Xenopus tropicalis: one gene and its partner. The protein of the gene in region 1 binds, or shares a complex with, the protein of each later gene. Links are inferred from orthologs where the notes say so. Each region holds a gene or a part of one and is shown in the gene's direction. Other genes may lie near its edges.

Region 1 (5,731 bases):
AGAAAACAAACCCGTTGTGTTTGGAATATTCACAGTATAACAGCTGATACTTTGGGCAAATCAACAGGAGACATCAAAGCTTTGTCTGGGCAGAACATCTTCTTCCTAAAGTGATTCTTTCAGAGTCAATAAAGCCATTTCACACCTTAGAATTCTCCAACTGGTACTGGATCCTTCAGTATGAATGGGCTGTATGCTTCAGGCCATCTACACAAAAATAACCTGTGAAAGGTGCATTAAAGAGAATGAGGTGTGAAAACATACACGTCCAGGCTTGTTTTAGACCCAGGAATTAACACCATTTTATGGGAATTAAGATGGCCAATGTCATCGTCAAAATATTTGCAAAATAACACTTTAAGTTTCCAGTATTTAGAATAAAACATTAATGCAATAAAAAAATGATATTTGAATTCCACATTAGAAGTTACAGTTAGAGCCACATAGACAAATGCAATGGCCGAAGTGGCTTTAGCTGAAGGAAAATGTGCAAGAGTCTGTTAGCACAAGAAGGCACCATGATTTCACCCATGCAGGAACAGAGTTAGAGAAGAGGAAGCCCCATCTGATGGGGGGTGGGGGGATGACATAAATCAGTAAGGTCCAGCCTGCTGCCCTCCACCCTTTTGTTGAACTACAACACTCAGAATCCTCCTAAGGAAGAAGTTACTATCAAAGGTTTAGGACATTTATAAGTGCAGCAAGCATGTAGGGTATATTATGAAGCTGATGGAATGGGTATAAGAATACTTTTCCTTGGACAACATAGAATAATACATTTACAGTATCAATGATTGTGTGTGTGTGAATGTATCCCTTTGAGTTATATAGAGCTACTTGTATATGCAGTGTTTTACAGTTGAACAATTAATTAAGAGAACAAACAAGATGTAAATACAATAATAAGATAAATACAAAACACAGTTAGATTCAAGTTTAAATGTTAAAGAGACAAGAGAAAAGAGGCCCCTGTCCCACAGAGCTTACAATCTGTGTGTGTAGCAGTGTGTCTGGGCATGTTCAGTGTACATTTTTACATTTGTATAGCATGCGTGTGTGTGACCTTATGTCAGAATTGTACTCCTTCTTTTGTTCCTTTGCATGTTTATGTATCTGAATGGCAGAATGTTTATCAGATGATGTAATGTCTTTCTTACTATCCTGCTATACTATACATACCATACAATCTAATGTCTTTCTTACTATATACAAATAATTAATTGTGGCTGAACTGAGGAAATATAAAGAAATTTGTACATTTATTTTTCTGCAATAATTCAGGCATCCTTGTCTAATTATGACATCAAAAGTGGGTCCCTGGGTAGAAATAAGCTATTAAGTGCAATGCTGCTGAACCTGTACACAGCTGGGGATGCCTTATTATTGACTTGAAACAATTTGTGCAAGCAGAGGGCTAATGAAATGGGAATGAAAGACAGAGAGAGAAGTGTGAGACAGAGGTGTCAAACAGACTGTAAAACACACAAATGGAGACTGGAAACCTCCAATGTATATTGGGAAGGAAAAAACAAAGACACTTCAGTATCTCTTCATACTGTATTTTCTGTGCATATTTAAAAAAGGAATTGCCACCAAAAAGTCACAGAAAAAACATTTGATAGAGAGCCTGATAATAGAGAGTGATAGTTGAGCATTCTAAGGGTAATACATTCAGTAGTTTTCAGACAAAGCGAACAATAAAACACAAATATACACATATTTATCTTAGAGGGTTTAACTTGTATTTAAGGGATATCCACACAGAGCATCTATAATGTATGCTGTCTCTGGGCACATGCAAGCAGTAGTCAGAGGTGTGGAGTGTTAGGGGGGAGGTAAGGCTATGCCCAGTTAGGGAGGGTCACAGCCCAAGCAATGAGAGGGGTGGAGCTGAAATAATATGGATAGGCTCCTGATTGATGTCAGTGGGTGGTCTTTTGCCTTTAATTTGTCTTTTAGGGGGTGGGGAGTTCAGGGGATTCTTAAAAGAACTTGAGTGGAGGCAGCTTTCATATCTCACAGCATCACTATATAGACTGGAGGCCTCTGCTCTGCTTCTAGAACAAGACTACATTGCTTCCTCACTTCAGCCTTCAAAGATGGCAACAGATGAGTTCAGCAGCAGCACTACTCCTTCATACGACTACTATGATTACACAAATGAGAGTGGACTACCACCATGTGATGAAACAGACTGGGATCTCTCTTACTCTCTGCTACCTGTCTTTTACATGATCGTTTTTGTCCTTGGACTCTCAGGCAATGGAGTGGTCATATTTACAGTATGGAAGGCCAAGCCAAAGAGGAGATCTGCAGACACCTACATAGGTAATCTTGCACTGGCTGACCTGGCTTTTGTGGTAACACTGCCTCTGTGGGCCACATACACTGCTTTAGGCTTTCACTGGCCCTTTGGTTCTGCACTGTGCAAGCTCAGCAGCTATCTGGTCTTGCTTAATATGTTTGCCAGTGTCTTTTGCCTCACCTGCCTCAGCTTTGATCGATACCTGGCCATTGTTCATTCACTTTCCAGTGCTAAACTTCGCTCTCGCTCCTCCATACTTGTATCCTTGGCTGTTATCTGGCTCTTCTCAGGGCTTTTGGCACTCCCAAGTCTGATTCTGCGTGACACACGTGTAGAAGGCAATAATACCATCTGTGACCTGGACTTCAGTGGTGTTTCAAGTAAGGAGAATGAAAATTTCTGGATTGGGGGGCTTAGCATCCTTACCACAGTTCCAGGTTTCCTGCTGCCCCTGCTCCTTATGACCATCTTTTACTGCTTCATTGGTGGCAAGGTGACCATGCATTTCCAAAACCTGAAGAAGGAGGAACAGAAGAAAAAGAGGCTTCTTAAGATTATTATTACTCTGGTTGTGGTGTTTGCTATCTGCTGGCTGCCTTTTCATATTCTGAAAACCATTCACTTTCTAGACCTCATGGGCTTCCTGGAACTGTCTTGCTCCACACAGAACATCATTGTCAGCTTGCACCCCTATGCCACCTGCTTGGCATACATTAATAGCTGCTTAAACCCTTTCCTCTATGCCTTCTTTGACTTGCGATTTCGCTCCCAATGTTTTTTTTTTTTTGGATTTAAAAAAGCCCTCCAAGGACATCTCAGCAACACCTCTTCCAGTTTAAGTGCACAGACTCAAAAATCTGAAATTCATTCGCTAGCAACAAAAGTCTGATTGGGAAAAGGGAAATTTGATGGGCTGTGGGGGCAGAGACTTTTTTCTTAAGACTTTTAGGGTTAATTGAACGTTATCTCTTGTTGCTGCAAAGGGAAGGTCATCTGCTGATTACAGAACAGGGACTTGCACAGTCTACTGGATCATATCACTGGAGTCTGTAAAATGCCCCCACTTAGTGGATGTCTGGCTTTTCCTGAGAATAACAGACACACCTTAGTGAATGAGACATTCTTACTCAGTCCCTCTCCAAAAAACAGGAGAGCTGGTTGGACAGGGTGGGAGATGCAGTTTACTGAATTTGTTATTGATGCAAGAGGTAACTGGGTATCCAATGGGTTAACACATGCTGTATATTGCTAGATTTCTTCTTTGTATTTGCTAATGTTTTTTTTTTACTTTCCTGTATATATTTTGCTTGTTAAAGCACTTGTATGATATCACAGAGCTTACACTTTTAACACTGTTAATGGTCATTTCAGAATGCAATGTAATTGCAATGTTATTTAACCAATTCACTGCCTTGTGAGAATGTCATAGAACTGGAGGTAAACTGGTTAAAAGCAGGTAAAAGAACAGTTGATAAAGAAGCAAATAATCAACTTGTAGGGTTAAATGTAGATTTCCTTTTATGCCCCTATGGCTTTAGTGAACTATCACTCAAAGTGTGCCCAAACAGCCAGTGACTGACTGAGGATTCTGGGAATTGTAGTTCACCTATACTCTGAGGTATGCAGCATTGCCACTAAAACTGTGGATTTAGATATGTAGAGACATCATGGCAAAAGGGAAGACTATGGGAGACAATAAAACTGCAAACCATTAACCAAAGATAAAGGACTACTGAATGCTATTATTCTGTGACTGGTGTAGGTCATTTGCCTCTTATCCATATGTACCCTGTATCTATGTGTGTGCGTGTGTATGTATATATATATATATATATATACACACACACATATATACATATTTGTATGTACATATATATGTATATATCTATATGTAAAGTATTCCCTCAAAGAGGGGGAGCCTTAACTGATCATTGATAAAACTGCGTTGTTTGATGCAATAAAACATTTGTACTTTGAATTGTTTCCATGTCTTGTTTATGTACACAAGAATTACACTTATTCCAAAATTCAGTTTGTTTTGAAACTATGATTTTATAACAGAACACATAGGCATGTGCATAATGTATAAGACCTCCATTATAAACACAAATTTTAGTTCCAGATTTAAAAAAAAAAAAACCTACTGCCCATCCTGGTAATGCTGTTCCTGGACCCTCCCACAGACCTGCAGATTCCTAGATTTCCTTCTAACTTGTAGAGTTGTAAGATATTGAATGGGTGAAAGATGATAATCCCAGTGGGCAGCTCAGAAAAGGACATTACTTCCCTTCTCACACTTAACCCCTTTGGCTTACCAGTTCGCAGCTTAGAATTCTAAATGAGGTAAAAGACATTTTAATTGGTAAAGGCCAATGTCTGTCATTTATCTGCAACTGCAGCAGTGAATTTAAAACACTGCACAAAGGGGGTGTGTGTTATATGCACAGGAATATAGAATAAATACAGTACTTGTGCGACAGTATGTGCCACATGTGGCCTTGTATATTTGCTTTACATGTATCTGCATACTTTAGTAGCACTGAGGGGTTTTACTATGATTCAAGAGCACCAACATTCCTGTGCTACAGTATTTTGTAGTAGCTTAATAAATATTAGTGCAGTGTCATAGGTCCCAGAAACAAGAAACCTTTCAAAGGAAAAGGAATGCCTTACGTCATTTTTGGGTTGGTTAGCTGGAAGGCATTGCAAGGGGTATTAGAAGGGGTTATTATTGATATAAACTCAAGCCATTCAGGTATATGCATAACTGTGGGGATACGATTAAAGGGAAATTACAGCAGTCATCATGCCTTATAGCACTCTCAAACCAGCATTTGCAGACAGTGCCACTCTGGGGCTGCAAGAGCAACACTTTATATCAGGGGTGTCAAACATCCAGGTTCCTGATGTTGTTGAACTAGAACATTTAGCATGACCTTGCAAATGTAGTCCAACAAAAAGTTCCACCAGTGCACCCTTACCTCATCCAATACTAATGTACATGTATATGTAGTTCAATAGCATATGGAAGGTACAGGTTGGATTATAAATAATAGTGCCCCAAAAGGCATTCTGCTCTGGGCCCTGCATCACTGTGCCCTGAGCATATACATTCATTGTATGCATACTTCCAAAACAATAGAGCAAAGCCTTAGGGCAAAATGATTGCCTTCTAGCTATGGAGCTGTTTCATTGACTTTTGAGTACTAATACAATTGTGGATTTTCACCTATACCACATCATCTCTGTCCCCATTGCATAATGCCATGACTCTAGGAGAGCCCTATAGACACAGGCCCTAAGACACAGGCACTCACACACAATCATTGCCCTTTGATTTAATGGCTCTATGGGGCAGATACAAGCGTCTGTCTGCAGACAGAATTTATCTGACATCACCCATATTTCTGCTGTCCTTCCCCCTAC
Region 2 (5,488 bases), on another chromosome or scaffold:
GCTTTCAACTATTATAGCACATTTTATCGATTGGCGCTAACATATTCTATTTAGAACTACAACACATATGAAATCAATATGTTGAATGGCTAATTAGTATGTCATTAAGATGCACACTACTGAAACCAATGCATTCTGCGTCATGCAAACTACATACAGTGCTATTCACCACGTTGCGTTCATAGCAGCAATTTTTAAGGTCTGAGCTGACATTTAAAATAATATTGTTGTGCCCAGAAATCCATTGAATTGTTGTGAATAAACTAAATACCAATTATACCAGTTTTTGTACTCTCCCTTTTATTCATATCTCAAAACACACATAAGAATCAGCATTAATCACAGGGTATATCACAGACTTGGGTGTCAGCTGGTAAAGTGGTAGCTTCCATTTGTCAGTGGAGAGATAATTAAATAGGTTGACAGTTGAAAATACAAGCTAGCTATACTCCCACAGCTCACTAAAGGAATGTACACAAAAATCCATACTAATAATTAAACAAGTCCTTCCTGATTGGCTGTGTTTACATGCAGTTTCCAAACACATTAACTTTGCTGGTTTTATTTGCCATATCTTTAATTCCAAGTTGATGTATGCAGAATGCCTATATTCTGAGGGCTGCAGTATAAATCACTCACTATATAAGTGCCTTCATGCAGGAAATGTTTTAACAACTATTATGTTCTGCTTTAATAACATTTTGATGGGCGGGAATTGCTTTGTGGCTTACAGTACTGTAATATGTACGAAAAGCAATAAAAACTCATCTTAGATCCATGAACCTTGTCCGGTGTTGGAGAGCCCCCAAGTATCTTTCTATCAGAAGTATCCTATTCATGCTGGCTGTAAGATTCACTCAAAGGGAAGCAACAGGCATATTTTCAAATCAGGACAGCTATTTTTCTCAGCAGTGGAATCAAATGTAGCAGTGCTTAATAGTGGGTCCATAATAAAGTCTGGTTTGTGAATAATAATGAGTGACCACATTACTGGTTATTGTTACCTTTAATTACATTTCCACTTGGTAGAACACAGGCTGTTTTCACTTACAGGGGATACAGATGAGCTCTGGTAACTGAAGTGTCTGGTATAAGAGCTCCATAATATTTCAGCATCTCACAGAGATATGTCTTTTTGCTGGTTCAGGGGGTATATTTTTTATGACTGGACAGAAAAGTCAAGACAAACATTTACCTGTATATCTTACTCCATGAGGCACAAAATGCCATTTTCCTGTCCCCCAGCACTTTGACAAGTCAACACTCCCAGTGAAAATACATCCCAATGGGGCAATAATGGACATCAGAAAACTGTCAAATGTACAGAATATATATTGTACCTGCAAGCAATATTTGATAAAATATATATACTGTTTACAACTGTGTATTGTCTGAAGACTTTAAAGATGCACTTGATTAAATAAGTCAATGGACTAACTTACTAATGCAGATTGGCATGTTTTTACTCACAATGAACAATGTTTTCTCTTTCTCTTTAATATGGCTAATATAGAATGTTCCAACACTTTCATAAGATTTACCAATGAGGATATAAAGTACTGAAGTTGTGGTGTTGCTTTTCCCTGGTTGGTGCTTCCAGCATTCCTAGGAAAAAGTTAATATGGGATTTATTGGATGTGTGTTGGCACAATATGCAATGCCACGTGAACCCTGAAAATAACATGTCCTTAAAGCAGTAGTTCCCTTGGGTGCAACACATTGTACACAATTACCCGCATTTCGTCAAAACGTAATTGGTGCCAGGTGCAATGTATTGGCACAAGTTCCCTGGTAAATCTCCTTTAAATATAAATATATATATGTTGGGCTGAGGATCCTTAAATAAACCAGATTGCAAATCAGCAGAACCTACAAAATAATGGAATGGGGTTATAATTTGAAAGATTATCAAATAAATGTATGAAAATTGCATTCACTTATAATGACCATATTATATTAAAGTGTATTTTAATTACCACCCCTAGTCAAATTCACCCAGGTTTGCATTCAGTTTTATTTTATGTTTTGAATATTTTCAAATTGAAATCTAAATAGCTGCAAACAATCTGGCAGGCATCCAGTTTGTATTGTAATATGTTTGTCAAAGCCAAGTGCTTTGTTAGTCCTATGCGGTGTTACTCAGTTCAATTCATTATGGGTGTAAAAAAAAAAAAAATAGAGGAGAGGATTCCCCCCCCCCCTCTTCCTTGCTGGCCACATGACCAAGCCAGACTCTCCAATACAAAACGCAGCCCCTGTAGTATGTGAGAGCATTCTCTGGCAGACTAGAGCTCCCTCTGGAAGGAGTTAGGCTTTTCCAATACACACAGCTCGCTTCTTGGATTCAGCACAGTTCTGCTCGCTCGCACTCAGCCACAAGAAACATGAATCTCAGACTTTGGGCACTGGCGCTTCTGCTCTTCATTTTAACCTTGACTTCAGCATTTGGAGGTGAGTCTGCTTTCTGAACCTTACTGTGTATATATATATATATATATCATGTAAATAAAAACTATATTTCTATATTTATACTTATTTCTATAATGCACCCTGTACTTAACAGTCATTGTAGCCACATGCAACATTTATAAAGAAATACTGCAAGGAGAGCTGTGCTGAAGAGCTAACAGTTTAGCATTAGGAGTTAGAAGAAATGCAATAAGGGATTAATTATTAACTACTAGGAATCAGATACCAGTATAACCAGTGTACTTTAAAAATGAGATGCATAAGTATTGTGCTCAAAAGCAAAATCATTACATTTTGGTGTAACAGGGTGCAAAAAAGGCACAAGTAGAACCTGCAGAATAACGAATTTAGCACTGTATTAACTTTTACACTGTATTAACTTTTACTCACAATGTATATCTTTCATTAGGCATAATAGCTAATAGCTGCGGTACAGAGTTTTTACTAAGCATGGTATTTTCTATTACCTGTGGTGTTGATGTTTAATTAAGCATGGCATTAACTTAGTGTAGCACAGATGTTTTATGAAGCATTGTATTCACTGGTATCTGCAGCACAGATGTTTTATTAGGCATATGTAAATGACTAACTCTAAAACTCCCACCGCAGATCTAAAATTAAGCCTAGCATTAACTAATCTAAAATATTTTATTAAATGTGGTATTAATTGCAACCTTGACCTTGTGTTTAATGCTTTATTAGCTAATGCCTACAGCATAGATCTTTCATTAAGCCTGGAGTTAACTGATACCTGCAGCACTGACTGACTGCATATTAAGTGCTGTACTGATACCTGCAGCACATGGTATTAACTAATGGCTAATCTTAAAGTTCAGCTGAATGTACAGTTGAATGCATATGGAAATATCAATATTGTAGACGTGAGAATGCATTGTATTGTATGTTACATGTTTCAGGCATTCAGTAGCTTTTATGTTTAATCTGGTGACATATATATCTAAAGCCTTATATTAAGCTATAGCTATTACTATGGGAGATGCATGGTCCTGCTTATATTCAGTTGTAAGATGGAAAATAATGCTTGTATTTAGTTTTCTGGCTAAAGTGTCTTGTGCACTTGCTCCTGGCTCAGATTCTTGCAGGATACCTTGATAAAAGAGCTCTCTCTGAGATCAGATAGGGGCTGTGTCAATAGAGGAGTTAATAAATCACAGGATGTCACCTGTTTACACTAAGTTGTGGTATGCGATGGTGTTTACCGCACACCTGGAAGTGGGGCTTACTGGCTCCTAGTGATATTAGTGTTGCTCAGGGGGCCATTTTCATTCAACGAGGGCAACTCCTTTTTATCTCCAAGTTCATAATTTATCGGCATATTAGAGGCATCACTTAGGAAATTGGATTGCATTATTACATTTATTGTCCTAAATGACATGCTGTGTGTATGTCAATAACTGATATGTTCACCAGTATAGGGTAGGATTGAGCTGACACAGATGGACCCTTGAAAGGGTATGACTGATATGGTTAGGACTTTCTTTATCAGTATTACTGAATGTTGGATGATGATATGATGCCAGCCATGTGGTCAGTATGCGGGAGGGTTGTTGGCTTTGCCTACAGTAAATCGACTACAGTTTGAAGCTCTTAATCACTCTGTGTTCCCACACCAACAAGGCCCTTGGGTGCTTTAAAATTCATTTGTGGAGTAAAGAGAAATGTAGCAAGTGGGATAGAAAAGCAAATAAAACTAGTAGATGGCAAGACTATGAACATTACTGTCAACCACACACTGGTAGTATTATAAAGCACTTATTTTGGAATACAGTAAACCTTATAATAAAAAAACTATTAGTCTTAATCAGCATCAATATTACAGTCACATACACTGATATCATTTATATGTAAATCAAATGTGTTGTTAGACAGACTTTGCCTTACTCAGACATCATGAACCCACACTGAATAAGATGCAGCCAAGTCTCTTAATCCTTAAGCAAACAAGTTTTACAAATGGAAGTGTTGGTTATTGTTCTGTATGACTGGCTGCAGGCTTATTATCTCTCTACGCTTAGCAATGGCAGCCAAGGGGTTAATGGGCATGTACTAATTACTGATCTTAGGATGAATTTGGGCAATTCAAGAAGTGACCTGTTGTAGCACAATGAATGTATGCGCATTGGGTCAGCCACGGAAGGTCAGTTCAAAGACATAAGTTGTGACCTATTGTTCTGCTCATTTTGAGAATTAACCCCCTACCTTGGCTACATTACTTCTAAGCATCAATGAATAATTCATAGCACACAGGGGTGGTCCAAGACTATTTGCTGCCTGAGGCACAATCACCCAGCTGCTCCCACATCTAGTCTTATTTTTCCTGCTGGTGGCATGGCAGTCCCACTCTGGAGATCAGGACCTGTAACATGCTGAAAGTCCATAAGTTCAGCTCTTGCAGTTTCAGACATCCCTCTGTCCATTCCCTAATTCAACAAAACTATTTTTACTCATGAAAAGGACATGAAATCATAGGAAGAGGGCAGACTGCAAAGGAAACTGGTTTCCGTGACTGATAGGGAAGATAGGGAAGCCACAAGCAAATTAACATATGTAAAAGGTACACTATCTTCAAAGAACCAACATATCCAGTCGTTTAAACAATTACCTTGAGGCTGCATTGATATGGTCCATACTACCCTCAAGCAACTGCACTGTGCTGACATGCCCATGATGTTGCATTGCATTGTGAACCCAAAGCTTGGAGAAATGTCTCTTTATTGTAGGCATTGGCATACTCCAGTGTACAACAGGAACTAATAGGAAGTAGGTGACTATAAATGCTGCTCATTTCTTTTTTCAAGGAAGGCAAAATCACTTACGCTCACTGGCAAAGCCAAGGCTTAGCTCTTTAGACTCAATATTCAATATTCATATAATAGCATAGGCAGTTAGTCACAGCCTGGTGCGCCTACTGGAAAGGAAACCTAATATTGCATGGACTTTATCTATTTGAGGTGGACTAGCAAGTGCTGGTACTGGGATCATATCATTATAAAGAGCA

The links. Proteins that work in one complex are often made in the same cells at the same time.
Region 2: the proteins of aplnr (region 1) and apln are in contact, whole or in part, in a cryo-EM structure (PDB 8XZG), measured with the Homo sapiens proteins. The link is inferred for Xenopus tropicalis from reciprocal best matches to the Homo sapiens genes APLNR and APLN. Residues at the interface, in NP_005152.1 of Homo sapiens: Tyr35, Phe78, Trp85, Tyr88, Thr89, Tyr93, Ser106, Ile109, Phe110, Met113, Pro163, Val164, Arg168, Gln180, Cys181, Tyr182, Met183, Tyr185, Glu194, Glu198, Leu201, Gly202, Ser205, Tyr264, Lys268, Tyr271, Ser275, Cys281, Asp284, Leu285; in NP_059109.3 of Homo sapiens: Arg66, Pro67, Arg68, Leu69, Ser70, His71, Lys72, Gly73, Pro74, Met75, Pro76, Phe77.

Annotation. Positions count from the first base shown.
Region 1 is NC_030677.2:143,794,019-143,799,749, forward strand, and holds aplnr (apelin receptor), read left to right. Parts: upstream 1-2,027; 5' UTR 2,028-2,099; coding exon 2,100-3,194; 3' UTR 3,195-4,283; downstream 4,284-5,731. UniProt on the Homo sapiens protein: G protein-coupled receptor for peptide hormones apelin (APLN) and apelin receptor early endogenous ligand (APELA/ELA), that plays a role in the regulation of normal cardiovascular function and fluid homeostasis.
Region 2 is NC_030684.2:52,324,687-52,330,174, forward strand, and holds the start of apln (apelin preproprotein), read left to right. Parts: upstream 1-2,286; 5' UTR 2,287-2,384; coding exon 2,385-2,451; intron 2,452-5,488. UniProt on the Homo sapiens protein: Peptide hormone that functions as endogenous ligand for the G-protein-coupled apelin receptor (APLNR/APJ), that plays a role in cadiovascular homeostasis. Functions as a balanced agonist activating both G(i) protein pathway and beta-arrestin pathway of APLNR.